Mytilus edulis: one gene and its partners. The protein of the gene in region 3 purifies or fractionates together with the protein of the main gene of each other region. This does not show direct contact. Links are inferred from orthologs where the notes say so. Each region holds a gene or a part of one and is shown on either strand. Other genes may lie near its edges.

Evidence for each region. The genes of interacting proteins can lie anywhere in the genome.
Region 1: the proteins of forkhead box protein J1-B-like (region 3) and cyclin-dependent kinase 20-like purify together in Homo sapiens (affinity purification with mass spectrometry; 3 studies listed by BioGRID and IntAct, counting the BioPlex papers as one, with this or other methods). This does not show direct contact. The link is inferred for Mytilus edulis from reciprocal best matches to the Homo sapiens genes FOXJ1 and CDK20.
Region 2: the proteins of forkhead box protein J1-B-like (region 3) and protein broad-minded-like purify together in Homo sapiens (affinity purification with mass spectrometry; 3 studies listed by BioGRID and IntAct, counting the BioPlex papers as one, with this or other methods). This does not show direct contact. The link is inferred for Mytilus edulis from reciprocal best matches to the Homo sapiens genes FOXJ1 and TBC1D32.
Region 4: the proteins of forkhead box protein J1-B-like (region 3) and F-box only protein 11-like purify together in Homo sapiens (affinity purification with mass spectrometry; 3 studies listed by BioGRID and IntAct, counting the BioPlex papers as one, with this or other methods). This does not show direct contact. The link is inferred for Mytilus edulis from reciprocal best matches to the Homo sapiens genes FOXJ1 and FBXO11.

What each region holds. Positions count from the first base shown.
Region 1 is NC_092344.1:102,311,269-102,319,650, reverse strand, and holds the start of cyclin-dependent kinase 20-like, read left to right. Parts: upstream 1-5,215; 5' UTR 5,216-5,313; intron 5,314-6,481; exon of another isoform or gene 6,482-6,553; intron 6,554-6,918; exon of another isoform or gene 6,919-6,939; intron 6,940-7,138; exon of another isoform or gene 7,139-7,150; 5' UTR 7,151-7,157; coding exon 7,158-7,232; intron 7,233-8,382. Other genes in the region: uncharacterized protein, read right to left, coding at 923-1,391, 2,459-2,653, 3,285-3,434, 4,289-4,426, 4,956-5,054. UniProt on the Homo sapiens protein: Required for high-level Shh responses in the developing neural tube.
Region 2 is NC_092348.1:15,689,422-15,697,835, reverse strand, and holds the start of protein broad-minded-like, read right to left. Parts: upstream 3,168-8,414; 5' UTR 3,105-3,167; intron 1,314-3,104; 5' UTR 1,293-1,313; coding exon 1,141-1,292; intron 290-1,140; coding exon 134-289; intron 1-133. Other genes in the region: uncharacterized protein, read left to right, coding at 6,022-6,453, 6,794-6,899, 7,624-7,695, 8,161-8,406.
Region 3 is NC_092352.1:1,713,866-1,722,238, forward strand, and holds the start of forkhead box protein J1-B-like, read right to left. Parts: upstream 3,309-8,373; 5' UTR 3,221-3,308; exon of another isoform or gene 2,946-3,220; intron 2,781-2,945; exon of another isoform or gene 2,605-2,780; intron 2,136-2,604; 5' UTR 2,042-2,135; coding exon 1,541-2,041; intron 605-1,540; coding exon 1-604. UniProt on the Homo sapiens protein: Transcription factor specifically required for the formation of motile cilia. Acts by activating transcription of genes that mediate assembly of motile cilia, such as CFAP157.
Region 4 is NC_092346.1:84,490,575-84,498,568, reverse strand, and holds the start of F-box only protein 11-like, read left to right. Parts: upstream 1-4,827; 5' UTR 4,828-4,976; coding exon 4,977-5,073; intron 5,074-7,939; coding exon 7,940-7,994. Other genes in the region: EF-hand calcium-binding domain-containing protein 11-like, read right to left, coding at 4,658-4,750. UniProt on the Homo sapiens protein: Substrate recognition component of a SCF (SKP1-CUL1-F-box protein) E3 ubiquitin-protein ligase complex which mediates the ubiquitination and subsequent proteasomal degradation of target proteins, such as DTL/CDT2, BCL6, SNAI1 and PRDM1/BLIMP1.

The DNA of each region.
Region 1 (8,382 bases), on a different chromosome or scaffold from region 3:
AGTTATGGCCCTTTATAGTCAATATTTAACAATTTTCATAAATTTTGTAAATTTTTGTAAATTTTTACAAAATATTTTCCACTGTAACTACTGGGCCGAGTTCATTATAGACAGAGATAATTATAAGCAGCAAGAATGTTCAGTAAAATAAGATCTACAAACACATCACCATCACCAAAACACAATTTAGTCATTAATCCATCTGTGTCCTTTGTTTAATATGCACAATGACCAAGGTGAGCGACACAGACTCTTTAGAGCCTCTAGTTAATATGATGTTGAAGATGAAAAAATGGAAATCAAGTTTGATATTGATGATTTTCACTTTTACCGTGCAGGGGTTGATTTTGAAATAGCTTTTTGTGTCTTTTTATGATTATGGTCCTAGGAAGACTTAGTTTGGAAAATGCCACTTATGGCAGTTGTTATCAAATAGTCCGTTTCGCTGTATGTTGGCGTTTGATTTTTGTTTCTCTTCAGTTTTTTCTGTTCCGTTGTCTTTCTCTTATAGTTGATGTGTTTCCCTCGGTTTTAGTTTGTAACCCTGAAGTGTTTTCTCTATCGATTTATGATTTTTGAACAGCGGTATACTACTGTTGCCTTTATTTATGTGGTTTTAGTGTTTGTTTCTAATGGCAAAATGAGGTTAAATTTATATGGTCCTTGATATATTGGAAAATACACAAAGAACGTGGCAGGTCAAACAACCTTAAAAGTAAACGCCTTTAAATTGAAAACAATTTTCTCTGAATTTGACAGCTTCAGTTGGTTTTTTTATGTTTATGTCGCTGTGTATCTTTATCTTTAAAGCATACAAAGATATGACAATAAATTTGTTTAAAAGATAAACAGATAGTTGTACATTAATTTGAACGTCTACCTGAATGTAAAAGATACCTCTTTTGTTAGAACTGTGAAATACCTGTTTTGTTAGAACTGTGGAATATCTGTTTGGATATAATGCAAGTTGAACTTGACAGTTCTTCATTTTCATCAGACCTCATTCTATTTTGATTGTGATGAAGGTATCTCGGGCTGAGCCTTGATCTTTGACCGCCTTTACAGCGTTCTAATACATCCCTAGATATTACTTCTACATTGGCTATAGGGTGTGGTAATTCTGGTAAAGTAAACATATCGTCTTTTAGAAAACTGTCTTCTAGAGGCTGGTCAATAATCAGTTCTTCACAAGTTTCCAAGCTCTTGTCTGGGTGTAGTGGTTGTATGTTGTCATATGGCAGGGTTTCTGCATAAGTTGCTGGCTGGCGGAAATAAGACTGGAAAGGACTTTCCGATTCCATCATCAACGTGTCGTGGCTTATCATTCTACCCTCACACTTGACACAGCAATACGACGTTTTCTTTAATAATCCGGGTTTGAAATCTTTCAACTACAAAGTCAAACAACCGGTGACATGCATTTTGTGGTGACGCTAGTTCATGGCCACCGGCACCTACGAAGCTAGATTAATTTGTACGTGGATATTTTTTATTAATAATGCGTGAAGTGAATATTTTTCACATTGCCGATAATAGAAAGAAATATTTCTTTTCAAATATTAATTTGCACCCTCGTTATGAATTCTAAACTGAACTTCTACGAAAATGTAGTATTTTGATAACATAGGCTTGATACCAGAATGAAATGTATGACGTAAGCATTAGTTAAAGAAGTTTTTAAAGACTGAAGTTTCTTAGTTTAACGCTAGCTTACCACTTGAAGCGAAATATAGACTTCACATTCTACCTGTATCTACACTTTATTACTACATGTACTTATACTGGATAATTATTAAGACTATTTTTCTATCGTTATTTAACTGCCCTTATATTCATATTTTAGTATTATATAGAACATAACAAACCTAGTGAGGAAAAAGTGAAATACATATTTACAAATAAGAGGAAAATACGCGAACAAGACAAATTACTAGAAACAGAAGACCGACGATGAACGGTAAGGCGTCTAAAGTTTACACAATAAAAATGCTCTCAAATGATACCAGCTAGACGCTCCAGAAGATTTCTATTGAAGTTTTGTTTTGGCTAATATGATGAAGATATTCCTTATGTTTCGATATTTTGTAATATAAAATGAAACTTTATCTTTTTAGGGAGGCCTCAATCGGTATGAGAGTGGTCTTAGCAGTGTTTGACATCAACCTTAATTGATCAGGATTTTCAGTTCAAGTTTCATGCAGAAGGTCGTTGGTTCTCTCCAACCTCCCTACCAATAAAAACTAATTGCCACGATATAGCCAATATCACTGAAAGTGGCTTTAAACGCCAACAATTCATGATATTTTACATGATTCTTATATTTCTATTAAATAAAAGTCAAGCATGTAAGATTTTGAAATTCTCAGTGACATTTCTGATATTTGTGTTTTTAATCTTTTGTCAACGATCTTTGAATCTATGTTTTAGCTGGAACGCAGATAACATTAAAAATATTTACCTCAGATTTAGATCTGAAATCAGGACATGACATTTTTTTACCATCCAACTTCAAATAAGACGTTTCTCGAATGGGAGATGACGGTGGGTTATCGGGAGACGATCTTCCACCACATTGGCTGCATTCACTACAAGTTGTACTGCTAAATGATTGGCTGATGTAATACTGCCGTCTATGTACTAGTGGCGTACTTGGCTGCAATAAAAATCAACAAAGAATGTAGAAATGCAATTACTGTAATTCATTTTTTAAGAGTTAATACCATTAACAAAAGGTTTTTCATTTTTTAATTGTTTACATTTTGTCATGTCGGGGCCATCTATTGCTAGATGTACAAAGTATGACCCCATGATGACCATTATCTCTCAGAAGCAAATGTTCCTGCATGTGCAGGTAGAATTTAATTATGATTTTTTTTCACATACAGTGTTCTTAGTTGTGTTCAAACAGTATGGTTAAGCAAATACAATCAAAGCTACTCGTGTCATTTTCGGGGATACAAGTCGACCCACTTTAAACATTCAAAGCCAAAAGTTAGAAAACTTACGGTCAAAGATGTACACAATTTGCATAACTTGCCTGAGGTCAACTTTTCCTGAAGAGGTGCAATTCTATATTTCAGATTGTTATATCTGATTCATAGAGTTCAATAATCATCATGTTTATGATGTTTTGTATACTATTAGGCGTACATATCAGTTAGATTATGTACAAACGACCCAACGTCCTCGTAAGAAGGATGGATCGTTGACTAATATATATATCTAGACGTTTTTTATATACATTTTTGACAATTTCTTATGTAATTGCATTTTTGAAATATTACCAGACGGAACTGCAGGTTGGATAGAGCGTCCAGTTTTTCTCCATTGACACTCAGTGGTCCTGTTTGTATATCATCTTTGGCGCATGCAGGATCATAAAACGTGTGCTGATAATACTGGGTAGTTGATGGTCTTTGTGGAAGAAGATCAATCTTAACATAAAAAATGAATATTATGTAGGTCTGCTTTGTGTTTTTATATTCATGAAATTAATTGGTAATTTCTTTTTCCATTCTCTTTGCAACAAATCAATGTATCAACACCACTCAGTGGCGGCATATCTGGTATAGGTATACCTGATATTTATCATTAATGAACTAAGAAAAAGGACATATAAAATAACTAGTATTACAACTCATATAACTATAAGAAAGAGGTAGGTCCAGTTTCCACTGAATTTCTGTCAATCGCAGACTCCAAATTAAAAAAAAGGTAAAACCTGGAATGTGTATAGAAAAGTCGCAACAATACAAATTATAGATTGTACAAATTTTCATAAAAAGAAAATGCTTTTCATCGCTTTACATCGTTGTCGAAGACGGTTTTGTTACAATATTGGAACAAAACCTTGTCAAACATTAAACTGAATATGTTTTTGAACTAAGAACAACATAGCGGCTGGCAAAAGTTTTCTCTCAATGGAATTTGGGTTTTTGTTTGAGATTTTTTTTTATTCATGTTTGCGAAAATTACTAAAAATTTGCAAATTATCAAACCGGCACTATACACATGATGTTGTCATGTTGTGAATTTTAGTAAAGATTGATTTTTTTTTTAAAGTGAAATCTTCAACTGTCAGAGTTTTCTTAGAAGCTATAAGCAATATGTGGTTGATTATCTAATTGTTTTTTTTTTCTTCTTCTTCTAAGTGTTTCATTTTAAAATTTTGGTTTCAACAGTACCTAATGGTGATTACGCACTAGATTAAAGTTGTCCACATCATTCGAGTGAGATACAATACCACGGATTATTATAACACATTCTTTTCTTTAGATATTGCACGTACCTCTCTCGGTTTTCTACGTATTCCAGTTCGACTTTTAAGTGTGTGTGTCAGCTCTGTATTTAAAAGGGATAGCCCTTGTATTTCCTTGACATCACAGCTGCCTTCCCTGCTTCGGTTGCCCGCTGTCAAACTACCTATCTAAAAGGGGGAGTAAAAACAAATAAATGACAGGAGCTATACATACAAAGGAGTTCGAGATAGGTCATCTGGTACGTCGACGTTGGAGTTTTATAATACATTTTTGTTTTGTGTGGCTTATTCTTATTATACACCTATCCAGTTGTAAATTCGTATGGGGTTTTTCTTGGGGGGGGGGGGGGGGGGGGCGCTAGGCTTTATAGTTGTTTTTGTTATTAATCATTGGTGGATAGTGGATCATAATGGACTGGTTGTAAGCTGCGTCAGTGCCCAATGTCGCGGCGAGAACAAAAAGCAGTGTTGAACTACCAAAATCAAAGTTAACGTAAAAGATACATTTGTTAAAACCTATATTACTTTTAAGTTTTCACAGAAAACAATTGTCTAAGTTCAACACGTGATGAATTACTTACTTCACGATCTTCTTTGGTAACATTAATCATCTTTGAAGAGCGTTTATACAATCGAATGTAATTTGGCTTCGTTAATATCTTTTTAGATATTCTTTGAATAAAACATTCATATCTACCTTAGCAACTTTTGTCTTGTCTAACCCTTTAGTTGAAGTTGATGGTGAATGGAGGGGTCCATTGTCTGGATTGTATTCTATTAAGGATACAGTTGTCATTATAACACAAGAAGATCCTTTTCACTCCATTTTCGAGATACGCCGATATCGAATGGTAACGTAACGTCATAATAGCTTAGTTGTTAGCGCCTGTGTCATTGGTCTCTTGTGGAGAGTTGTCTCATTGGCGTAGTACCACATCTTCGATTATCTTTATAATTTAGTTGGGTGTAGGTAGATGCAATAGTGCTGATCTACAACTGATGTTATAAAATCAGATTCTTCAATGGGAAAAAAGCATTTGTTAAAGAGATAGGGAGTACGTTATCATATATTACTTAGAACTTTTAATGTATTCTTTCATATATTCAAAGATTCAATTCTAACCAGATATTACATCCTAATTTTGACAGTAATGTTGTTTAAAAGCCTATCAACTTAGACACTATCCGTGTAAACTCGTTGCACCTCTGAATAAACCCATTATTAAAGAATAAATTATGATCAATTTATCACCGCAGTAAGATCTTGGTATGCATAATAACTTGTGGTTTTACATTTTCGTGATATTATGTATGCATATTTGATGCAATTGTCACATATTTCCCAGACTGTTTGTGGCGTCTTTACACTTAATCCATCGTGTGGCTGCACGAGCCTTCGTATTGCCGGTTCTTAATTGGAAAAAGCAAGCCTGTATTTAATAAATTAATGATGACAAAATTTACGGTTGTAAAAGATTTTTCAAATTTTGTTTTAAACCCTATTTTATCAGTTTGACATTTCCAGTATCAGATTCACAATTCTCATCGCATTTCTTTCTATCACAGTAGCTCTGTACAATGATAAAGATTTAGAGTATATGTTGTTTTATGAACTGCTTAACACAAATGGATGGTACAAGCACACAGTCAGTTTTTTTTCGCATGATTCTATCACATGATGAACTTGACATGAAACAATCTAATCAGAAGCGGATCCAGCCATTTTAAAAAGGAGGTTCCAACCCAGGATAAAGGGGTGTGTGTGTTCCAGCCAAATGTCCCCATTCAACTGCATTGATCGTCCAAAAAAGGGGTTCAAACCCCGGACCCCCCCCCCCTTTTGGATCCGCCCTCAGTGTTCTAATACTGATCATTGTTCCAAAAAAATTCGGAACACTAAAAAACTTTTTATGGATATGAAGTTCTTATTTCCAGTTTTATTACTACTCAAGGAGAGTAGCACAACTTGAGTGACTACATGTTAGGTTGGTATATCTGGATCTGCAGTATAGTAATCTATCCACTTAATTAATCACTTATTCAATTTATATATCATTTTAACAAAATTCTTTTCAATATCACCATTCTGTTTTCTAATTATAATATAGGTGTATTGATCACAAGAAGAAAACTTTGTTCCAAGTGTATATTTTTTATGATAACATCGAAGGGGCGAAATGGTGTGGGACGAACGTGGACTAAACAAATTTAGATATTAGTTATGTCCCTTTGTCTTCGTTCTTTTCAAAAGAAACCATATTTAGACCAAAAAAATGCTTTCCTGACAACAACAAAGTATTTTTTACAAATTAATCGACATAAAAAGCATATTGTACCCAAACTGAATATCATTCAAACAGTTAGAATTGTACAGAAAAAATGGTTTAATTGTATTCCACTGCCACAGGGGTTTTCCTTATTTTGGACACATATTTATACACATAGTATTCATTGAATAATAATACATTGCTACTATTTTGTTGAGTGTATTTTCTGTGTTATATTATTTTATTTTATCATTTTTATAACACTTGTTACATATCTTTTACTGTGTGTGTATTGCATATGTTATTGTTTATAATAATATTGTCTGTATCATATGCCCTCCTGGGGCCCTAATTTGGTAATAAAAAATATTCTATTCTATTCTATTCTATATTCATATTACACAAAATTTTAAGGTTAAAACCGTATTTATATAGAATATTTTATGAAATAAAAGTATGTTGTGAATTTGTTCTCACGATTTTATCCGATTATTTGTTTTATCAGTTTTTAATTAAGAGAAGTCATAAGTCTTAGATGGGCAGTTGCATCGGACTGCACCATATTACAGTTTGGTTTTAGTTTTAAGTTCATTCAACATTCGGTACATATTAGTTATCTTTATAGATTGGTAATGGAACAGTATACAATATTGGGAAGGATAGGAGAAGGCGCTCATGGCATTGTCCTTAAAGCCAAACATATAGAGGTTTGTTATAAATAAATAAATAAATAAGCTTTATTTAGAGTCGGCATGGTATATAAAACATAGACAAACATAAGCTCTAATGAGCTTTTAACCGACATATGAGACATTATTTAACAGTACAACATTTATAACAATATAATACATTATAATATAGTACACATGCATTAAATATCACAGCACAAAAATGAAGCACTAAAAGCAGAATATAAGCATAAGCTAGGTATTAAGGCTAAAAGCATATAAGTGTAAACTAGGCATAAAAGCTGGTAAAAATGCTTAGCATAAAAAAAAAAAAAAAAAAAAAAAATGGGATATGATCTAGATGGTAAATAAATTTTCATAATATATAAACTAAAAGTCTGCACAAACTGTGCACTTACAGTCATTTCCATTCCATGACTTTAAAATATTTTTGAACTGACTAAAATTAGCAATTTTTCTAAAATCATCAGGTAGATCATTCCATAAAACAGCAGCTGTGTATTTAAAAGAGTTCTTACCATAGGTTGTTGTTCTGACCCTAGGTATATCTACAATATTAGAATATCTAAAATTATATTTACAGTCTTTCAAAACAACTAAATCATGTAAGCATGGTTGTGACAATTTATATAAAATTTTAAAACACTCAATAGCCATGTTACGCATACGTCTTATTTTCAGTGATGGAACCTTTGCTCGTAAAAGTAGTTCATCATATGAACTAACATAGTCTTCATATATAAATCGTTAAGCCCTTTCCTGAATTTTTTCCAATTTGGTGGTGTTATTTTTGTTGCAAAAATGCCATGCCAAAGGACAAAAATTAAAATTAGATAAAATAAATGTGTGGAAAATTGTCAGTTTATTCAATTTAGTAAGGTAGCAGCCAATGCGCTTTAAAACATTCAGTTGTTGGGATGCTTTACGACAAATATTTTTAATGTGGTGATTGAAATTAAGTTGATAGTCAATATCAATACCCAAAAGTTTGACAATCTCATCACAGGATATTTTTGCTGACTGTATATTAAAAACAGGCTTTTTTGCAAATGTTTTATTTCCAACTGCAATGGCTTGGAATTTGTCAGGATTTGCCTGCATACAATTAAATCTGAACCAGTCAATTAAAACAGCACTTTCTCTTTCGAGTGTACATAATAAATTATCA
Region 2 (8,414 bases), on a different chromosome or scaffold from region 3:
TAAAAGGGGGTTAAATTTGTTGATGACCAAAAGAGGGGTCAGTTTTCATTAATAGCAACATCAAACCTTCTCATAAAAAATTTAATATTTCAAATTTCTTTGTTTGTGTCAGACTATTGAGTTTATTACATACTGTCTTGAGTGAAGTATTTTATCTGTAATTTTGTTGATGAGTGTCTCTTGTCCATTGGAATCATGTATACTAGACTCGAATCTTTCTATCTCTTCTTCTGCCAATGGACCAATAATGTCTTCTATTTTTCTTCTTAACACTTTCACAAATTCATGCCTGTAAAATAAATTACAAGATCAAAACTGATGCACCATATCTCTATTTAGAAAATATATTTCTTCTCAAAACCAAATAAAATTAAGTGAAATGTATAAAAAGTTAATTAATAATAAAAAAAAGTACATTCATAATGTTTTTACTGTTTCCAATATAACAAAAATAACTGCAATTTTTTCATGACATAGGTTTAAGAACTTAAAAAATTCACAGTAAATGTATGATTTTGCCTTTATTCTAACCAATTTCTATTTAATTCTTTTTTATATACAAATAACATTACCAATATTCTGTATGTATTCCATGGTTTCATTGAAATTAATTGTAAACTTATTTTTATTGGGAGTATTATATAGTACATTTTTTCCTGGAGTTTGTTGTAAAAAATGCTAACACAAAGAAATTATAAGAGACCAGAAATATTTTGCTTTATATTACATGTATAATCAGCCTTGATTATATCAAATGAATCCATCTTACACTTATTTATGAAATTTATAAACATTTGTATCTGGTATATATAACACACTGTTAAAAACAACAATGTTGAATAATTTGTATATATTCATATAGAAAATGTAAAACAGGTATTACGTCTTGCTCTATTGAAGAGAAAATATAAGATTTAATACTCTAGCTGGGAGTATTTTGTACAAGAATTATACAAAAAAAAATGTTTCATGAAATATTTTGCTGATGTGTAAAGATAGATCACAAAAGTTTTACAATAAGGATCAGGTATAACCACCCACTTTCTGCCACCATTGCCATTAGTGTATGTTAATAAAGTAAATGATGGTACAAAAGTCAACATGATCAATGTTTTAGAAATTACAAAAATCATATCTGACCTATGGAAATGTTCATCATTTTCCTCTAGATGATACAAAGCTTCTTCTGATTGGTCAACAGTCCCAGCTTCTCTTATCTGAGGTTCGAAACTAATGACCAGTTGTCTCAGATTCTGGACCAAATCTTCACCCTCCAAACCTTTCCACGACATTATCTAAATACTGTGTCTACTCTGGAAAAACAAATAATATATTTATTGAATAAGAGTTTCAATAATTTATATTGATCAATTTAAATGATAGAGCAGTAATATGAAAAATATGTGATGTACCAAGAGAGGAAAGTCCTATTTTTTGTAAACAAATAATGTTGTCTAAAATTTTTATTCATTAAATATTTGATACACTAGATTTTTATCTTTTCTAAAGGAACAGAATGTTCAAATGAACATGAATGGTCAGATCATATATATGTTTGAGTATGTCAATTGAATATTTAGAATAGATACTATGCATACTTTGTAATGGAAATTATGACTTCAATATATATACACGAAAACCCATGAGATGAGGATATGTTTGTTTTACTTAATATTATTGGCTCAATAAATCTTGGTATTAAATTGGGGTGGGTCTTACCACTGAACACTCAAAATACCACCAACCACAAAGAAAAACAGTAATATTAAATAAAGTGCATGTAAGCACTGAATGGTAAAGATTACTTCAATTTATCAGGGGGAAGTAAAGATGAATATTGCATTTTATAAAGCATTGGGTGTAGTGGATTTAACAGTCTGGACAAATGATGACTTTAACAATGCATGACATCATTCATATTTCTAAAACAGATATTAGATTCCTGCACCTTGCAAAAGTTATGTAAATTTCTTGTCATGTGTAACATCATTTTGTGCCTTGAATATCTGAGCATATATTACATCGATACTCTTCTGGAAATGTTCATGGGTAGAATTTATAGAATGTTATGATCAATGCACTATATTTTGTGTACCAAAAAGGTAGTGATCAGCCTTGGAAATAGGGGGAAAAAATTGTGAGTTGTCCTTGACAGTTTACAGAGTGGTCTTATAGACTACTTTTCTGTTCAATGTAGATATTTGGTCTTTTAATCTTATGACTTGTTAATAACTTAAATATGATATTTAGGTCACATTTATAACAATAGAAGACAAAAAACAAATTGGGGTGTTTTTTAGTGTTCGGTGGTGAAAAGATACAATGTAGGCAACTGACTCTCCTCATAAATAAAAAATAAAAATACATTTGTGTCTGTACATGTATTTTATTTTTCATTTACATGTTGTACTGTTAGATCAATCATCCTTAATCAGAACGATAGTTGTATGTGTGAGTGTATGCGAGTGGGAAAGAAAGGCTTTTTATTTTTACTTTATCTGTTTATGTGATTACATGCTTGTTATGAGCCCTATGATTAGGAAATAAAATATTTTTATCTAAAAGACCTACTGACATGACTGATTAAATTGTTTGTTTTAGTTATATATTCTACTTGTGCTTCATGAAGGGGGAAGGACCTTAATCCGGACTACGGGATCGGGTGTTTTTAAGCTCAGGATTTCTGGATTGACCCTTTCGGGATCCAGTAATTCTCTTTTCGAATTTCAGGATGACAGGATTTAAATTTATTTAAATTTAGGACCTCAGGATTTCATGATTTTAAGGATCAGGACCCCTCATACCCCCTCTCATAAGACATTTTCAAGGGGATAAGGTTCGGTCTTTTTATCAGTTAATGTGTATGAGGTCCATTTTATGAACATGCATGCAAAGCCAAAGGGTACTAATGTGCTAAGGCATAACATGGTCATGGTGGTTCATGAGACAGCTAGTAATAGACTAATGAGAAGTTTTTCCCTGCTAACAAAATCCTAATACTACTTTGCAAGTGAGTGTAAAAATAATCAATCAGTTGATGCATATTAAAACAGTCTGATAAGTATAAAATTGTCAATTTTAAATGGAAAATAAATATTGTTTACTATTTCCGCCATATTGAAAATGTTCCTAAACTTCTTTTCAAAGGACAGCGCTGATTGGTTAATAGCACACTTTTGACCAATGAAAATTTATTTTATAGAAATTTGGTTGTCAATCAGCATCAGGGGATCTGAGAGGGGAAATTATAACGTTATAATATGATTTTTATCAGTGTTAGATAAAAGTATAATATTTTACAATGTAACTTTTTTTCACGATCATGTATGTTAATATTTATTGTACATGCAATAGGTCATAATTTGTAATGTAAAAACAACATAAAAAAAGTTGAATTATTAAAATATGTTTGGAGTGTATATGACGGGTAGATAAATTACGTGCTTTTGACATACGTACTTGGGATAGGAAAATCTTTTGGTTGCCCTCCCCATTTTTTTTCATCAAACAAACAATAATAACAGATTTTGAAAAAAGGGGGACGGCAAGAATAAAATGTCCTGCCTCCAAGTATCTATGCCTTTTGATCTGGTCATTCTATTTCGGTTGATAATTTTGAATTTTCAACTCTCAACACTATAGCTACACTAAATATAACGGAATTTGATGAGACTGTCATCAAATAGAAAGGGTTAGCGCTATAAAACCAGGTTTAATTAATCCACCATTTTCTACATTTGAAAATGCCTGTACCAAGTCAGGAATATGACAGTTCTCATGGTTCTTGTCCATTCGTTTTTGATGCGTTTTGTTATTTGATTTTGCCATATGATTATGGACTTTCCGAATTGATTTCCCTCTAAGTTTAGTATTTTTGTGATTTTACTTTTTTTCCACAAAATCTTATCGAACACCAATTACCTATTAATTTAAATGCATGGTCGTTGAAAAAAGGCTTTCTTTTAAAATCTAAATATACAACTCAAGTGTTATTTCCTATTTCCATGTTAACTAACAACTATTCAACGATTTTTGTGATAGCCGAGTGATAAGTTTGACGGTATTATAACCCAGTATGATGCTTTTTTTTTTTTTGAGAATATGATTTTTTTTTAGATATTTGCCATTGAACCAATTAATGAAGTGAATTTAGTTACAGATATAAGTCAAGTTAATCGACGTATCATTAACATCAGAACTGTTATGGATTGTCAATATCGAGTCTTGCAAATTTAAGAGATTAAAGTAAGTTCAAACTTAATAAACCGTAACATGCATAATATTTTTTCAAATATTCCCGTTATATCCGCATCTATCTATTTAATGTAAAACAATACCACAGAAGAGTAGCGAGAATTAAAACCCACAATCTAATCATGGAACGTCATTGACGTTAATTATTACGTCTCATTCTCTTGCCTTAGTTACGTTGGAGAAGTTGCTGCAGATAGTCATATCTTCCTAGATAGATCAGACGTACAAAAGTTCCGAGCGAGAGATAAAAAAAAACCCAAAAACAGCAATTTCGACCATTTCTGATAGAAACCTCTACATGTAAGTTGTAATTAGTTTCGTGATAATGGTCTTAAAATATAGATTTTTTTAAGAGTTAAGTTAAGGAGAATTTTCATGCTGATAAGCCTTTACTTACCGAGTTTCTTGCCGTAATACTTTGTTTGAATAAATGTTTCAAACCTAAAATTAATTGTCGTTCATAACGATGTTTCTTCAAGTCCGTGAGCATACCCCATCTTCTTAATAGTTTTAATTTACCACAAAATCAACAAAACTGTATGTTATTGAAAATATTGAGTGAGAATCGTAGGATTCAGGAATACTGTTTGTACGTTTCGTTTGGTATGAAACAATGTAGCCATTTTATCTGCAAACCGACTTTCGGGCCTGGAAATTTTTGGGGGTTTTAGCTGACTATGCGGTATGGGCTGTGTTCATTGTTCATACGATCACCAGTAGCTTTCTGTGCCATTTTGGTCTCTTGTGGAGATCTAAAGTTGTCTCATTGGCAATAATAACGCTTCTTCTTTTTTATATTGTCGTATTTTGTAATTGATTTACAAGATAAGAAAATTGTTCATCATCGAAATCGTTTTGTCTTCTCCATAAATGAGTTCTACAAAAAGGGTAAATTTATATAATTTGGTGAGTATTTTAAGAGAACACAGAGTTTCATACTGTTGATATTATCATCGCTGTTTGTGGACTAACCAACCGATGACCGTTAGATATAGTATTTTATCTTTGATTGGTATTTGTCTTATTGTGCTGTTGGTATGTTGTCGCGATTAAGTTCGTTGCTTGTCTTGAGATTGTGACACAGTGATGACTGCTGTAACTATATTTTGACTATTTTACCGATTATGTCTGTTTTGTTGACGCATCGCGTAAAAATAACGGAATTTGACGCGACTGTCATAAACGTGAGATGTTTAGCGCTATAAAACCAGGTTCAATCCACCATTTTCTACATTTGAAAATGCCTGTACCAAGTCAGGAATATGACAGTTGTTGTCCATTCGACGTTTGATGTGTTTTATCCTTTGATTTTGTCATTTGATTAGGGACTTTCCGTTTTGTGAATTTTCCTCGGAGTTCAGTATTTTTGTGATTTTACTTTTTGCTTCTGTAACCATACTGAATAATATTTATAGTCTTTATTGTTCACCAAATTTTCTTTGAACATATCTAGACTAGCTTCGTAATATAAAAAAACACTACATGTACAACAAATCATATTCCAATGATAGAACATGATTTTCCTTCCCATATAACTACTGCAAAAGTGTATTGATGAGAACTTGGGTAAGTTGTTGTGCCACGTACATCATCAATGCTTTGTCTAGAAGCATTACATATTGGATTTAATTGGAGTGCTACTTCTATATTTGTTTATCTAACTTGCGGAAGACATTTTGCTGCACACGAACTAAAACATCCATATGTAAACAGTAAAGAAAAGCAAGAAAAACCACGTACATAATGAATTAATTATTATTTTTCAGAATGTTTGACCTTATGAACATGATTACTGGATACCAAACTAATTATTTAGAAAAGTTACTAGGAGTAGTAGTTTCATCCCAACAGTTCATTTCAGAGCACATATTAACTCAATGTCTCACCAGTTTCACAGAGGTTACCATTTCAACACAGCAGAATATAGCTGAGTGCACTAGGAACTATTTTGACGTGTTACCAGACACTTATATCAAACCCAATGATTACCCATTGGACCAGGCAAAGTTTTACTACAATTCAGCCATTGACTACAATAATCAGATTACAAACATGATGAATCATTATATAGATGATCTAGTTCATCCAATGTTACAACAGACAACAGATATCACAACATATACGTACAACAACTTAGTCCTACCAGCTGTAGAGAACACATCAAATTGTATACTCGCCTTTATTTCCTTGTCGGAAAATGTAAGCAAACTTCTTCAATAATTATCTTAACTTGTATGTTTTATGTTTTTAAAATGATCCATTATTCGCATTCTATCCTATTGACATACTAGCTTCCATCATCAATGGTCGACTGATATTTATGGTCACAGAGTCACCTGTTTAACTTATGTTTTGTCATCATTGTTTTGGTTTTATCTATCTTATATATTAGCTCGTTATTTTTTTATTTTTCTTCTACTAGTGCTATTTGAATTCGTTAATACATTTTTTGTTTTCTCTGTTGTTGTAACTCAATTTCTTTTTTTATTTCTTTTCTTTCTCTTTCCTGTATTCTGTTTCACAACCATCCTGTACACAGTACCTGGCTGACTTCAGCAAACTACAGTTATTCTGTTTATTGCTTCTCTTCTTTCTGTTCTTTTGGATGCAAAGGAACGTCCTGCTGACAAGAAACATGAAACAAGGTGTGATAGTAAAATAATTACCTTATATCTCTTGATCTACATGCTGTAATATAAAGCACGCTCCCCGAAGTGTCGATTGAGGCGATACTTTTTTATACAAATGTAATTAATTCAATATTATACATCAAATCATTTTTTAAAATACAGTCACGTATTGCACAAGTTATGATGATTAAACGAAAGAGTTTATATATAAGGAACACTAAATGCAGATATATGACATTTTTTTTATGACACTGTTTTTACGTGTATTTCTGGATTGACTTTCATCGGGTACATTCGAACAGGGACTTTTTATACGTTAGTGTAGAAAGTTCCCGATTCGAAACAAAAATACCGTGTATCCAATCAACCACAAGTCCCAACCCACAAGTCAACACCATTCAAGGTAACTTTCTTTAAATAACCGTTAATTCAAGGGGTGTTTTTTTTTATAACGAATACAATTATTAACAATTTTGAAACCATACTGTTTCTAAAATCAAGTATCACGCCAGCTTTATGAAATACATGATTTATCATCCCCAGATATATGATATAATCACCAGCCGACGGTCGATGATGAATGTCATATCTCTGGGGCTGATGAATTATTTTATTTACTTTTATGAAAGAAAAGTTCCATTCCCTGGATTTTTTGAAATGTGATTTTTTTTAAATCGTGAAGCCTCTGGACCTGACAAAAACAATGTATTCTGAATAACATTCTATTTTTTTTCTTCAGATATGAACGTTTATCGTAGTATTATGAATAAGTTCTTGTGGCAAAATGAAACGTTATTAATTGAGGTTGAAGGTAAGCTAGTGTTAATTATATGCATGGTAACTATCATTGTTTTCATCTCTTTTGATGAATCAGCAAATTTTGAACCACAGGAGTGATTTATTATCATCTTCGACCGTTTTCGATTTTATTGAAAGATCGGCCTTATTTGAAAAAAAGGTATTATTTTAGCTTGTTCGTGATATTTTTATCATCTTTCTTTCTGGGTTATATCAGGAACAATATATAGATATACTAGCTGTACCCAGGGTATATGTAATTTTCACTAGCTGTTCATTGAATGAGTAAAGTGGTTAATCAATCCATTTGTCTTGGAAAATATAAAATATATTTCATAGCAATACCTTTTAGCAAAAAACTTTAATTGCAGGGTCGTTCTATGCTTTGAATTGGTGAGAACTAATTGTTGGACCCTTTTCATTTAAATCCTTTGTGTGAACAAAAATAGATACTGACATACGTTTTTAATTATTTAAGAGCTCAACAGACGCCTCAAAAAGAATAAAGAAAAAAGAATTCCAAAAACAGTTTCTCGTATTGAGAATTTGTACACATTGATGGACAAGAGTTACGATAAGAAAACTCGACTTTTAGACGAGCTGAACTATTGGAGCCCAGTAATCATGGCCCAAGAAAATAAATTGAGGATGGCAAATAAAGCTATGGAAAGCAATGACGAAAATTGTAATGTTGAAGAAATTAGGAATCTTGGACACCATGTCGGTATGTAG
Region 3 (8,373 bases):
GATTAATATCCATATGTTCTCCGGGGTTCAGATCATCGCCCCACCAATCAGGAGGAGATATGTGAGCACCATTAATTGTCAGATCTAAGGGATCATTTGTTGTGTAGTCCACTGCTATGTCGGGTGAGAGATCAGCTTGTGAAAATAAATCCTCAATACTAAAATTGTCAGAACTACATTCGGATGATGGCGGACTCATAGGATCTGATGGCACTGAATTTGAGTCTGGGCCGTCAAGTAAGTCCTCGGTTTTAATTTTAATTCCCGCTATTTCAATGTCTTGATGTAATATTGAGGTCCAGTTGAAGTCACCTTTTAATGATTCATGTTCGTCATTATTGAAATGAACAACACTTTCATTTCTCAATGACTTTCCGTGACACATCGGTAAATAATCGTCTTCAGGTTCTTTCTTGATCTTCTTTAATGGAGGAGCAGAACATGACCCCTCTCGACTATTTCTCCTTTTCTTGAACACGCCATTGTCAATCATATCATGATAATCAGGATTAATTCTCCAGAATCCACCTTTGCCTGGCTCGTCTTTCCTTCTTGGCACTTTCTGGAAACATTTGTTCAGTGATAGATTATGTCTGATGGAGTTCTGAAAAAAAAAGATCAATAATTTAAGTATTGATATCAACTTTATAAACCTATGGTAGTGTAATTTAAACAAATCATTCATCATTGCTAGTTCTGTTGTTATTTTATTTATATCTTATCAATAATGCTATTAATTAAATCAATTACTCCCCATCATTTCTATTATATAATAATCCTTTAAACACCAGTATGTTAGCACCCTATAATCATGATAATATGATAAATGAGATGTATACAGAAAATAATCAATGTATTGTGAAGGTCATTTTGTTTTCCCTGTTTATCTTATTAAAGTTGACATAATATATGTGTACCAAATCTCATTGCATATCAGTAATTTAGACCATTGCATATTGTGTAGTTTTTTTCCATTTAATAAAATTCTATGTATTCAATTTGGTTATAAGTTTACTATGTCGACAGTACAGCAATAATGATTTAACACAACAGTACAGCAATAATAGTATTACACACACACAGATTACCTGACAAGTTTATATGAAATATTGATTAAACTTCGGGGCTATTCAAAGTATATGATGAAATTTAAATAAAGATTGGTATGTAGGTATAATTTCACAATATGGTCATTAAGTATTGGTAAAGTAAATTTATGACCAAGCTTTCACTATAACCAATTAAATATATTATTATATAAGATAAATCAGTACAATGTTAATATCAAGTCAGTAATTTCTATTAAATTGATTATAAAATGTATAAATTTACAATAGATGGTTTCAGACGAGAATAATTTTAGTCTAGTTTATGAAGATAAACCTATTTAGAACCTCAATTTCAATATATACAACTGTTAAGTCTTTTTTTTTTTTAAAGAATTTGTACATTAATTTTGTATAAGAAGAAAGCCTACAACCTATTTCTGAAGATGTCAACAAGTGAACAAAATGTGTCCAAAATAAAATAAAATACTAACCTGCCAGCTAGGATCTGCTAATCTGTAGTACATAAAGTTTTCTGTAATCCAATTGTAGATGGAGGACAATGTGATTTTACTTTTCTTGGTCTCCTTCATTGCCATACAGATTAGAGTGGCATACGAGTATGGTGGCTTCACATATGGATTGGTCTTATAGTCTATTGATTCACCGTTCAAACTTGTAGGTGGTGTGTCTCCAAGCTGAAACTTTTGCTCCATTTTACACTGAGGAGGAGAGCAAGAAACGTTCAATATAGCATTAGGATTCACTTTCATGTTCTTGTTGATTTCATTATTTGCATAATTTCCAAAGGGTACCGGACTTGGAGGTGGTGTTGGTGATGTGATTTTCATGATGTTTAGATTCTGTAGCCAGTTTAAACTGGTGAGACTGTCATCTAGGTTTGATCCACCATTGCTGCAGGTGTCAAGGGGATACTTAGCCATCCAGTTTTGCCTAAATTTGACGGCTAAATTCTCCCTTGTTAGAACTGGCATCTTCCCAGTCCTATTCTGCTGGTGGAGAGCGTAGGCCTGTGGGTACTTCGTCTTGGCGGTTAAGTTTGATCAATTCTAGAAGAAAAATTCCAACCTGAAAAATTAATACAATCTATTCAATTTCATTTCATATTAATAAATTGCAAGTACTATCAATGTTTATAGATATCAAAATAAAATCTATCTAAATAAAAACATTTTTTTAATGAATGTTAAAATGAAATTCCCCATTTCTATACTTGACCTTAATGTTAATATCATTGGTAAAAAAGGACAAATCTTCTCTTCTCCATGTTACAGATAAATTTAAAAAATAAAAAATGATAATACTAAAACTAAAGTAGTAAATTTGACAATTCTGATCGAAATTATTATCGGGCTTTTTAGTATATTTATAAAGGACATGTAAAACAACAATGCATGATTTAAAATAAAATCATGAATATAAAAAAAAAATGCATTCTGCAAATGTCAAAATAAAGTAATCATTAAAAGCAATAATATAAATAATAATATAAATAAATATCTTAAATGTTATTGCACACAATAAAAAAATGAAATACCTTGAGCTCCTCTAAACTTGTTTGACTTTCAATATAGTTTAAAATAATGCACAGCTATCCAGGGACTTTATTTATTTCCAAAGCTAAACGTGTTTAATCAGAGTAAAATGTGATCAAACTTGCTCTACAAAAAGGCGTCAATACGTGTTGTCCCTTTAAATCCGTTAGATTGATTTGATTATCATTGGACTGTGAAGGACTATTTATAGTATCATTGACACGTGTATTTACCTCAGAACAAACAAAATAAATTGTCAAAAACATATATGATTGAGAAAACAATGTCGAAATAAATCACTCTTTCATATTTGATTACGACAGATTGGTTTAATCAAACTTACCTTGACGGGAAATAAAAACAACTAAAATGTGTTCACTTAATTCCTAATTAGTTTTCGATAAGCCCAGGCGTGTTCATCAACGACCGCGTTAATTAAATCAACAAATTTCTTGATTAACTGCAAGCTCAAGCTTTTATTGCTTTACGGCCTTTCAGTTTTCAAATTCATTTTGATGATATTTAAAAGAAGTTGTCGATTTAGAAGACTTTTTAAGAATGAAAGCATTAACCGGGCATTGAGAAAATAAATAAAATTAGTGTGGCAACAATGTAAACCTTAGTAAACAGTCTCTTTATAATTTGCAAGTTGTTGACATTCCGCTATGGCAGCAGATAAACAATGGGGCCAAACTATGTAAAAGACGTTTAATTTGATTGGACTGCAATACACATCACAAGTTATCGATAAAGCTATTGGCTGCGTTATTGGTTGAAAGGTCATAATCGGAATACACATTCATTCATCTAAATATTATGGTTCCAATACACGTTGCCGGTAAACTTTCAAACATAAATAAATCTAAATGGTTTGCACTAATTCTGAAACAAACAATGGGAGCTGTTTGTTTTCTAATAGACACGCAGCCAAATGTGGTTAATATATATTTTTTAATTTGTTGATCTTTGTTCGTTGGATTTTTTCGGGGTGGGGGGGGAATTTATTTTAATGAATTTAATGCAGGACTGTGCTGGGGACAAAACATGATATACATATATAGTTTTGTCCAGGCATGTATAATTTATTGACGAACAGAATTATTCAGCAAATAGAGGGAAACGCAAATGGAATAGTGCTATCCAGTATGTGAACGACCATATATCTTTAACAAAAAAAAAGGGGGGGCGGGTACGGTTTTCCCAACAAAAAATATATTATGATCCCCAATTTGACGAAAAAAATATACTGGACAAGCAGATGACAAAAAAATTGTGAATGCAGATTTCCTCTACACCTAATCGTACCTTGTACAGTATAATAATTTGATTGATATCGTCGAAAAACTTCAAGTAATATTTTTTTCGCGCTGTGCGGCATGATTCTACCAACCACACATATCAAACAAAAAAGTTCGAACATAGCTGAACCTGTAGGGTGAAAAATTGTTAAAAACTGTTATAGCTTTAGATTTCCATGTTCAATAATCATATTCATTTGTATGTCTAATGTGAGCAAAATTGGATACTGAGAAAAAGAAACCGAATTCAATGATATAAAGAGTGGGAAAAAATATTTAAATTATCTAGATATCGGACAATTTTTTTCTTTCATGTTAATCTTTTTACGTGACTGAATTAATTTTGACTTGTTTTGAAAATGACACCAATTATACGACAAATTCAATTTTAAAGAATGTGTTTTCATAACTGACGTCATTTGGTGTCATTTCATTTAAATAAGATTTCGATGATTTAAAATGTTGTAATAAATAATGAAAACCCATTTGTCTTCTTTAACAGTTATTAAAACACGGACAGATTAAAAGTTAAACAAACAAATAAATCGTCAAAGGAATTGTCAATGGCATATACGTACGAAGTCAAACATAAGTCTTGGATATAAAACGGCTAAGACTGTGTTTTTAATTTGTGCTTTTTCTTTCTTTTTTATGTGACTTGAAATGCGAACAGGTAGATTGGGAGGGAAACCGCAGTGCTCCCAAAAAAATTGACAAGCATTGAAAATTGCTCATAAGACATAAACCGTAGTACCCCTACACGTCCCTTGTACTCAATCATAAATCATAAATTTGCGACATTTTAAGCAGTAACATGCATAACTTCCATACTGTAATCTATACAGTTGCTTAATAAAAAAAATGATACCACAAATTATTCTATACTAAACGAGTATGACGACAGAAGGGTTAAAAGCTAATCCCAATAGTATATCCCTTTTTGATACTTTATTGGGAATAATATATATGAATTCACATTAGTTCTTGTACAAGTTCTAGGCAAGTATCCTTATACAAACTTATATTAGTTCGTGTACAAGTTGTAGACAATAGTTCCTAAACTTGTACCGATTCTGAAACTTATTATTCATGTATGCAGTAACACTCCCTTGACGAAGTTTATCCTATTATACTTTTATACGGAATTTAAGCCGATCCAAACTTTTAAATTAAAATTTCGTAGGCGTGTAATATCTTCCACAATACTTGTTTCACCATTTTCATAATATGGGCATTTTAAGAAGAAAAGAATGCTTTTAGGTTCACGACATACATAACAATAACAATACGATAGATAGGTAATATACAGTGAAGAAAATATTGATTTGTTAGCTTGGAAATTTTAATTTCATGAAATCTACTTGGAACTATATTTTTTTTTATATTGGAATTTAAAAAAAAGGCGTTTCTATAGAAATACACAACTTTAAGATATATTATATATACGTCCTTGCTTTCAGTAGCAAAGCTCGGCATGAACATGCATTCGGTTGTTTTGTACTCTTTGGTTGGGTTGTTAACAATTGTCTCTTTGACACATTCCCCATTTCCATTCTCAATTTTATATAACGGTTTCCCATTGGACGATAAGCAACATACAGCCAACCAATCAATCAATCAGTACCAAACTTCCAAGAAGCTTTAATATACGGTAAGGCTAAATTACTGCTCATGTATGCATTATTGTCATCTGTTATCTCAATATTATTGACTTTAAAGTGTTTAACTTAATTCGAGCTGGTGTTTATTGTGCGTTGCCTTTCTCTGTGTCTGCACTGTTTAACTGATCCGAGTTGGAGAGTGAAAGGATTGAGAATATACACTTTTAATCCATCATTTTCTACATTAGAGAATGCCTGTACCAAGTCAGGAATATGACAGTTGTTATCCATTGGTTTGATGTGTTTGGACTTTGATTTTGCCTTTTGATTTTTGATTTTCCTTTTTGAATTTTCCTCGGAGTTCAGTATTTTTGTGTTTTTACTTTTTTTTTTTTTTTAATAGGAACTTTAATTTTTTTGTATTTTATAACTTATAATTAACCTTTTTTACCATTTCAGACAAATTACGTGTGAAAAAATGGTCAACAACAAATATTCAACAACAGACAAGTATCTATATAATAGTCTATGAAAAGTTGTGAACAATAACAGAGAATGTTAAAAAAACTGCCATAAAAAATTAAGTCACTTAAAACATGGTCAAACATTTGATATTTGACCAACATGCTACCGACGATGTTCCAAAATTGGGACAGCCACATGAACATGTGTGTGGGTTCTGATTTTTTATTATATACAACACACTCCCCCTTTTCAGTCTCAGTGACCCCGGGACATAAACGAATCATGCACTAATGACAAGTTGTTTCGGAGTCAATAAAATTGAGAATGGAAATGGGGAATGTGTCAAAGAGACAACAACCCGACCAAATAAAAAACAACAGCAGAGGGTCACCAACAGGTCTTCAATGTAGCGAGAAATTCCTGCACCCGGAGGCGTCCCTCAGCTGGCCCCTAAACAAATATATACTAGTCCAGTGATAATGAACGCCATACTAATTTCCAAATTGTACACAAGAAACTAAAATTAAAATAATACAAGACTAACAAAGGCCAGAGGCTCCTGACTTGGGACAGGCGCAAAAATGCGGCGGGGTTAAACATGTTTGTGAGATCTCAACCCTCCCCCTATACCTCTAACCAATGTAGTAAAGTAAACGCATATCAATCAATGCAGACAAAGATGTATATTTTTCTTTCCAGTTGCATTAGAATGCCGATAAGGATATTTTATTTGAAATTTTGCGAGCCTTTAAATTTAGTTTCGTGATAGCAAATATCTGTGTACCGACTACGCTGACGAATTTGCTTGTATATTTAAAAACAAACTTTTGAAATTACAAAAAATAAAATACCCCAAACACAGACACACACTAATAGAAATTCACAATCCCGTAAGAATAACCATTTACACATCCTTGCTACAGAAAAATGGAATGTTTTACTTGTTTTAACACGAAAAGGCTCCGGGAAACTAATTATTGTCTGAAGAATAATGGCAAAAACCGTAACTGTATTTCTATTGTGTACATTAATAATTAGCCATTGGAATCCATTGATTAAAGTTATATCATCTATACAAATATAAATAATTATTTGATAACGGGGACACATTAATTATTCGTATACCCTGTGGCACACTATTCTATTCGGTCCCAGGTTCAAAGAAAATAAATAATTACCACCAATACATGGGAAAATTTGTATTTTCAACATTTCATGTATTAAAGTAATTTTTAGCTTTTTGATTATTTTTATTTAATCTTATGTAAGGTAATTTCAATATTACTTCTAAAGGTCAATCAAAGGCAACCGAGTTCAATCCTTGTTGGGTGTTTTTTTGGAAAAAAATTTAAATATAAGATTCAAGTTTTAAAAAAAATACTACGCCAAAGCAAGAGAGCTGTAGGAAAAAATCTAAGAGATAGCCAACCCAGTCGTAAGTCAAATACAAATGAAAAACGTAAAATGGTAAAAAGACAATCAGCAGTTTACAAGACACAACATAAAGAAACTGGACAAAAAAAAAACAAATAAAAAAACCCGGATGTAACCTTAGGTGCTCCCAAAGGAAACACATATCCTGCTTCACATTATGGATTTGCTCATGTAAGTACAAACCCGTTGATCAATATATTTCGGTATGTCACATTCAAGGAAAACAAGACGGGTTCAGGATACAACAATTGGAATATGTCCGTGGTTATGGCGTAACTATATAAATATTCTCTCCAACCGTTTAAAAGTCACAAATGATAAATTTTCAGCAAAAAGATGTAAAAACATCACCTATTTTTAGTTGGATAATTTGACTAGAAAATGCAAAGTTTTCCAACTCCAGACAAAAGAAAAAAATGAAGGCTAAATTTGTATTTATCTGTTGAAATCGTTAATTTGAGGTAAAGTGGAACTCGTCTTGTTCTTGAGTTTCTCCACTATCCAGTTTGAATCTTGAGCTCAGTAACGAAAAGAACACAGTTATGAAACAAGTACAGTAAAAAAACATAATTCTAAATTAATTTAAGGGTGTATTGATACAACACCAAAAGACGCTGACTTGTTGAAACAATTACACTAGTGTACGCTTCTCTATGGAAAGTCTTCTTTTTCCAACCATATAAAAATATATCTAAAAAAAAAGAAGATGTGGTATGATTGCCTATGAGACAACTCTCCAAAAATGACACAGAAATTAACTGAACTACAGGTCACCGTACGACCGTCAACAATGGGCAAAACTTATACCGCATAGTCGGCTATAACAGACCCCGGAATGACAATGTAAAACAATCCAAACAAGAAAACTAACGTCCTTATTTACGTACAAATATGCAACACATAAACAAACGACAACCACTCAATTACAGGCTCCTGACTTGAGACAGACACAAACATACAGAATGTGGCGTGG
Region 4 (7,994 bases), on a different chromosome or scaffold from region 3:
ATCTTGAAATTGATAGTAAATAGCAAATACAAGTTATTTTTTGTATATTCATGTTCTTGCAATACAGAAAAAAAAGTGAAAATAATTGAAATTGACAGAAAAAAAACAAAAAAGGATTTTGGTAAAAAAGCAGGAGGAACAAAAATAATTATCCTGGCCACAAGTACCTATTAAACGCATGCAAACACCTTATCGCCATTTGTCAGCCATTACTGGATATCATACAGGTTCCCGTAAAATTTTGACGTCATAAAACAAAATATCTGACGCCACAATGGAAAAGTGATTGTTGCGTAGTCGTAGGGAACCATTATAGTAAGGCCTTCAAAAATATAGTCAAACCAAAACCCATTCTTAATAAAGTTAAGGTGAGAGGTACGTAAATGAACGCCTCTAGCGGAAAACGGGAAAATCGACGTTTGTTGCTATGGGAGTTATCTCCCGTACACCAGAAAATATATATTCAAGATGTCGGAATATATTCCGCTTCGTCGGAATAATGGTCAGTTTGGTGGAAGAGAATTGAATGCATCTCACCAAAATGTAACAAAAATTGAAGTATGTAAAATGAAATATCTTGTAACAGTTAAACAGTGCTTCCCTCCCATGAAAATGACAGTAACTTGTCATGTCGTGATGGTCGGAGTCTGAGAGTGATTGAGTTGGGTTAACTAGCTGACCAACATAAATGCTTGCAAGAATTTCTATTCACCATAATAATTCTACAAAACTGTTTAAAGTACAAGAAATCGGTCTCGGAAGTAATTTGTTTATACGTTGGGGTAACTGCACATATGTTTATACGCTGGTAATCGGCACAGATCAGAGTGACTTGAAGATCGGGAATGTTGATATGGGACGTGAAAACGAAATGAAGCATTGATAAGAATATCATAAACTCGTACATGCATTACACACATACACTCCCACATTATTATTTAACAAATTAAAGCTTACACTATATATTGTCATTTTATATATTGAAATTCCAAAGCAAATATAGTCACAGACTTACATTCAGTCATTTGCATTCAAAGAAACAAAATTTCCCAAAACAACTGTCACAGTGAAAGCGGCTAGGACGTATTCAATCCTCGAAAAAAATAAGGTTAATACTGATATTCATGATTTGATATTCCTGTTCTATAACCATTTTCTTATTTAAATATAAACATAAACCCGGCTTTCTTTACAGTGCTTTCTTTCACGTCCGCGACATGGTCTATAAATAGAGTTTGAAAATGAAAGTACTAGTACTATTTTAAAACAAATAATTTATAGTAAAAAAATATTGAAGCAAAAGAGTTTAATTGCTGCCTGTGTGACTTATGCACGGACAAACGGGAAGTAAAACTGTTTTTTAAAATGAACAAAAATTTAAAATAAATGTTACACCTTGCTTTTCATTCAATTTGAATTGAATGGAACATTGTGAGCTTCCAACGTGAAAAAGCGGCAAGGGTAAAATAGAGATCCGTTGCATGAAAAGTATTCTTTCATGATAACCGCCACTTCAAAAATAAAATAAATAGCAAAGTACATGTACATATATAATATTGAAAATTTAGAAATTTCTGGGTGCATCAATCAATTCATTTTAAAATGCGCAAAATTTCGGAACTACGGTTATATCGATTTCAGTTGATACTATTTGTATACATGTACAAATGTACATGTGCAAATGCTGCTGTAATTTTTTTTAATTAGAGTTTTCATTTTTGCGTTACGTATTTCTTCTCAATTTTCGCAATAAATAAAACTTTGCAAACAATTCTACGAACAGGAATATTGTTGGCATAAATTACGAAGTACGTAATGCCGTTGGCTATTTCCAATCGCTGCAACATCTAATGCCTAGTTCACAATTACATTAAATGTAAAAGCAGCATAATTAATACGTTAAAACTCCCTCGAAGACGGTTCTTCAAAATCACATGCAGCTTTTCTATTCAGTACATAATTAGCTTAATCATTACAGCTAACAAAAAACAGACTTGATACATTTATCAGAACGTCCTATAATGTGTGTTCAAAGTCCGTGTTGAACAATTTATAAATAACACATAGCTGAGTTCTGGATAGAGCAGATTTGTACCCCGAGAAAACATTGTCTACCGCGGCGAAGCTGAGTAACAAACAACCAAAAGATGAATAAGTTGGAATTTATATACATTTGTTTTTAAATATTCACATATATGCACTGTCCTCACTATAATAATGGAACAAATCCAACGATAGGAAAAAAAATTAGGGATAATATACATCAAACTTTGAAATATTCTTTTTGTTTAACTTTTGCCTATAATTTACATTTTTCCCACATCTCCTTTCGTGTCATATTAAACACACCATTTAAGTTTGCAAATGACCAGTACTATTTGGATCGAAGTATGTGTTCATGTTTGTGTTGTTCTCGTGCCATAGAAACATACATTTATATATTTTATATGCATGACCTCCTGCAACTATCGGGGGAATAAAAGTTTACTGTTGTGTTTTTTTTTATGCACCCGCCGTAGTGGAGGGGGCTGTAAGTTTTACACTTCTCCGTCTTTCCGTCCGTCCGTCCCAAAATTGGTTTCTGTTCTCTAACTATAGTTTGCCTCAACCAAATGTTAGGAATCTTATAAACTATGCTAATTACCACAAAACACAGATCTAGTTTAAATTTTGGTGGCGTCACTTTTACCGTTCTAGGGTTATGCCCAATAATAAATTGAAAAATTGCTACATTTTTCGTTTCCGTTCTCTAAGATTAGTTTGCCTCAACCAAATGTAAATAAACATATGCACAATGCTTATAACAATTAAACTAAGATCAAGTACAAATTTGGGTAGCGTCACTTTAATGTTTTTAGTTACGTCACTTTAGAACTTTATATGCAAGCGGGGGCATCGTCTGTGTCCCATGGACGCATTTCCCCATTTATTTACTATTGTTTGTCTTTTGGCCGTTTTCCGGGGTTTTTTCCCATGGCATTGTCAGTATGATTTCGGCTTATAGGTTTGAAATTCCTGTTGCGTGGTATATTTCGCCTCCCTTATTCTGAAGCAGCAAAATTGTGGTCGGAAATGTGAACATTGAATGTATATCGTCATTCGGAGAATCTATTTTAAGGACAGATCTTTTATTGTTTCTGTTATATATATTTATAAACATTTGTAAATCTTTTAAAGTGTCACTTGACACTGTGTTTAATCATTCCAGAAATCATGACGTTATAAATACATAGGTTCTCGTATAATAACTGAAAATCAAAAATAGGCAATCAATTCTTTTTTCAAACAGGATAATATGCTTAATTGCGCATTCGAATAGCCAAACAAATTATAATGAAGCAGTCGTTGTCCTTACAATTCTGCTGATATAGCCTTGACGTTGCGTAATTCCTTCGGCGACGTCATGATTTTTTCCCCTCTTTTCCCGTCAGCAACACACTTTCAACGGCTGATATATAAAAAGGGAGTTCGGAAACCCCTTGAAAATTATATATCAAAAGAAAGAAAAATAATACCTTAAAAACATTTGATTTTTATAGAAAAATCGTAGGATTGGTTTAAACTCCAGAATAACTAAAGTTTGAAATTTCTTATTTTTGGTTTGAATTTGACGTTATGTCTATATACTTTATGTTGTTTCCTAACAATTTTCAAATTTCTGGAACTCGGAAATTAGATCGGTGACAAACTTAATTTTTTCGATTTTTCATTTTCTTTTTATAAGTTCTACGTGTTTACATACAATTTCTTTTAAAAATCGCCGGACAAGCAATTTACGTACCTGTTACCTTAAGACAGCTTTAAAAGGCCTGAACATGACAAAAAAACATGCTTGTAGACAATGGTTAGTTTTCTAGCATTGATATTTTGCTCTGTCTTATGCCTGTATTTCAATAAATTATTTAGACTGCAACTGTTTAAAGGGGCACTAGCTGTCAAATTCATTGTAACCGATTTGACTCAAATTCTCATATTTGGTTTATAACAATGTAAAACATTTATCCAAACTATCAAAAGTCTAAAATAAACAGTTTACAGAGCATGGGGGAGATAATATATAGGTTCGTTTCGTGTGTATTTTAGTCCAGACGCCATCTAATTAACTATCGATTTGACCTCAGATGACCATATAAGCGATGTAAACAAAAATAAAGATACGAATAGATTAAACCAACACGTGCAATTGCATTTTTAAAGGTCTGTTTGATTTTATTTTATAGATTAAAAATAGATGTTTCTCATTGTTTTTAACCATATAAGAATGATTTTATGTGCATCGAATTAGTAATCAAATGATTTACCGTAGTTTCACTTTCATTGTTGACATTCTTTTTCTTTAAATAACCAGTACACGTACAATGCATGCGTTGTCAATCTCTAGCTAGGGGTTAACTTGAAGTTCACATGAATACCGGTTAGAATGATGATGACGTTTTCACTTGCAAGTGAATCAGTCAAAAATTATGTTTAATGGCTTATTTCAACAAAATTAAAGGAAATTGATTGCTAAAAGCAAATTATTATTTCATTATTCCAATTTGATTAATGATTGATCTAAAAAAAATCATACTTTATTTTTTTATATATATCGTAGCTAGTGCCCCTTTAAAAGTGTTTGTTTTGCAAATTTACACATTTTTAAGTCATTAGACATTACTGAAGACAAAAGTTGTTTATCTTGCTTCGTCAGCGATCTTGGGAAATTATGATACCCATATTCCTTCAGATTAAAATCCAGACTACAGGACATTTTTTGGTAAATATTGTAGTGGTGCTGTCATGTTCAGTCGTGCCAAGCAAAAGTGCACCTGGGGTTGTTTACCCGGAAGTAGAACAATTATTGGCGAGAAATTGTCACGTGATGCGACAAAATTAACAGCCACTCAAATGGGAATAATTTTCAAGATGGCTACCTAATGTAACCCGGAGTGTTTATTCATGAAAAAATCAGGGAAAGGCGTGTTATTTCTGTAAATATGTCTAGTCAAAACACGCGAACGACTAGATATAGTACTAGGAATACAAAAAATCGTTCCAACGTGAAACAGTCATCAACAAGAAGGAATAACGAAGGTGAGTTTGCGAGGGGTCATTGTCTGTTTTATAAAAAATGTATTTTTAGTCGTTCTTTGCAGTCAGCAAGTCTGCATAATAAATTAAACTTTATTTCAAATTATATATAGTTCAAATAAAATGAGAGATTTTGTGAGGTGCTTGCTTAAAATAGCTACACACATAAAGCTATCTACAACTATCAATTATATGTTTTTTGTCATGTATAGTTGTGATTATGTTGATTATCTATTTTCGTAAAACTTTTGGTCTTTATAGTTTGATAACTTTTTTATGTTCATGTTCAATATTACCAAATGGTACATGTCAAATTTGAACCCCAATTAATAAATTGATAGACATTGAAGCTGAAATCTTACTGTTTACATATGATTAAGGGTGATATGTATGATAATGTAGGGCATGTACATCAATTTGACAGCAAGCCAAGAACTCAAAATAGTAGAGAGGATGTCTAGAAATAGTATATAGCATGTGTAATTCAAAAATTGATAGGCGTTCATACACCATTTCTTTTAGTAAATAAAGAGCATGATTTTACTAATATACAAAAGTTACAACTCTACCAGCAAGGGTTATAAGCAATATGTATGTACTTCGAGATTCCGCCAGTGTAGACGCACCCCTCAATTGAATGCAAGGGTACAGTGGATCCATGTTCACTCCCTAAGGATTAATGGAGATGTGTCCTTTACAATATTAACCCACCACCAGAACAATCCCCACCCCCATCACCGCCCAAGAGAGCGTGTAGGACACCGGGAAGTCTGTTAATATTGTGAAGGAAGCCGATGTACTCAGAGGGAACCACTGGGCTTCCCAGCGGGAACAGACAACCCGAAGAGATTTCAGAGGATTGATCTCCAGGTTAAGCTGGGAACAACTTTGACCTACCAAGGCCCCCGAAGTGACACATGGCACAATAAGAAACACTGTACCATTCTCATCACAATCATTGTGATCAATCCTTTTATATTGCATCCTCAGTACCAAAAGAACATCATAACAGTTCTATTTTTTTTATGTCTGTAGCAGGGCTTCCAAAACGGTCGTATATTCCGGTCATTTGTATAATGTCCGGTAAAAGTCCGACTGGGCAAAGCATGAAACGGTCATATACTTTTTAGTTTTCAAGGCTTTTTTGGTCATTTTAACATAATTCACGTCCTTTTTGACCCAACCTTTTGCCTTTAACATCAACACATTTCCGGTCATAAAAGTGACATAATGATTAATTACTATCAAAACAACCTCCACTTCAATACTTTCTAATTTTAATCAAGGCTAATTAGTAGTTGGACAGCTGAAATCTACCTGTTCAGGTGACAGGTGAACTATTTTCAGTACCGGACATCGTATAAATTGATCAGTCTATTCACAATTATTTTCTTACATTTCAGCGGTTTGTATCTAATTGATTTAGTCCAAAAGATTAAAATTATAAGAAATTAGTTTATCAACATGATTTGATGAAAAATTAAAAAAGGTTTTAAATGAAAAATCGTCAGAACTACGTTGTATGAACTAGAACATGTGTGCGGATGTGCACAGGTAGGAAATTTAATTATGCATCCTACATTTCTTCAAAAATGCTAAAATTATCATTTATACCTGTATATAACGTTCATTTCAAGTATTTTGTTGAATTAATAACGTGGAAATAGCTTCTTCACTCAGTTGTGCTTTGTAAACGTACATGGATTTTCCGTATCCGTTTATGGTCCATGTTTTACAATTGTCAAGTCAACATCCGGTTAGAAAAATGTGATTTTAAAACGAAAGTAAAGTTTTTTCTTTTCACAAATAAAGAGTCTAAGGCAGATACAAATGTATGAGCACGCTGATGTGCACACTTTGAATGATGCACTGCCAATTTAACAGTTTACATCCGAACATCAAATTCATATCAAAGTAAAGTTTAAAATCGTTATTTTAATGTAATGTCAATCATTGGAATGGCCATCTGATTACCATAATTGCCTTTTGTGACTAAGTCTTAAGGGATTAAAATCGGGATCAGATATAAAATGTCCGGCTGGCTCAAATATTTTTTGGAAGCCCTGGTCTGTAGCAGAGTTTTTTGCAACTTCAACACATGTTCTGATTGTTAAGCTTTCTGGTTGTTAGTCTTAGGCTTAATTATGATGATGGTGAAAGATTTATTGCTATTTAGTCTCCAGCACTAATTCTGTTGTGCAGCTAAAAAGCTCTCGGCCTTGTAAGTTCTGACACTTTCACATCAAAACAACACCTAAATCCTGAAGTGGTCATGCTTGCATGAATATATGGCAATGAAAAGGCATTCATATGCTTATAGATTTTTCAGACCTTCATAAATTAGGGAAGAGTTGTATCATAATTATATAATCATGTTATTGAATAGTCAGGAGTAACTGAGTTAATTTAATATTAAAACAAACTTTTTTTTTAAAAACTATTTTCTTGTTATTTCAACATTTATTAGATGTAGTTGTTATTGTCATTAAATTAATTAATTGACACCTGTCAGCTGTAGGGAATCTTGATATTAAATCTACTTGTCTGTTATCCCATAGATAAAAATATTTCCACCATCATTGCATCATTCAATTTTTAACTAGAATTGATAGTATTGACCGGGTCAGTAAACTTTATGTGATCATACGTATATGTTTTTTTTAGCATTATATATGATATAATATTAGTATAAAATGACATATTCATATATTAGATTACTTAATTACAGTCTGATTAAAACCAGCCCCACTATCCACTTACAAACGCAAGTGGATAGTGGGGGTTGGTTTTAATAAGACTGACTTACTAATAAACTGAATTTCATTTCTTTTGAAAAATATTAAGGGTATTTATGATTTCTTTTTTCCAGAAGGAGGCAGAGACAGATCTAACAGTAATAGCAGTGGCGAGGAAAATGACATTAA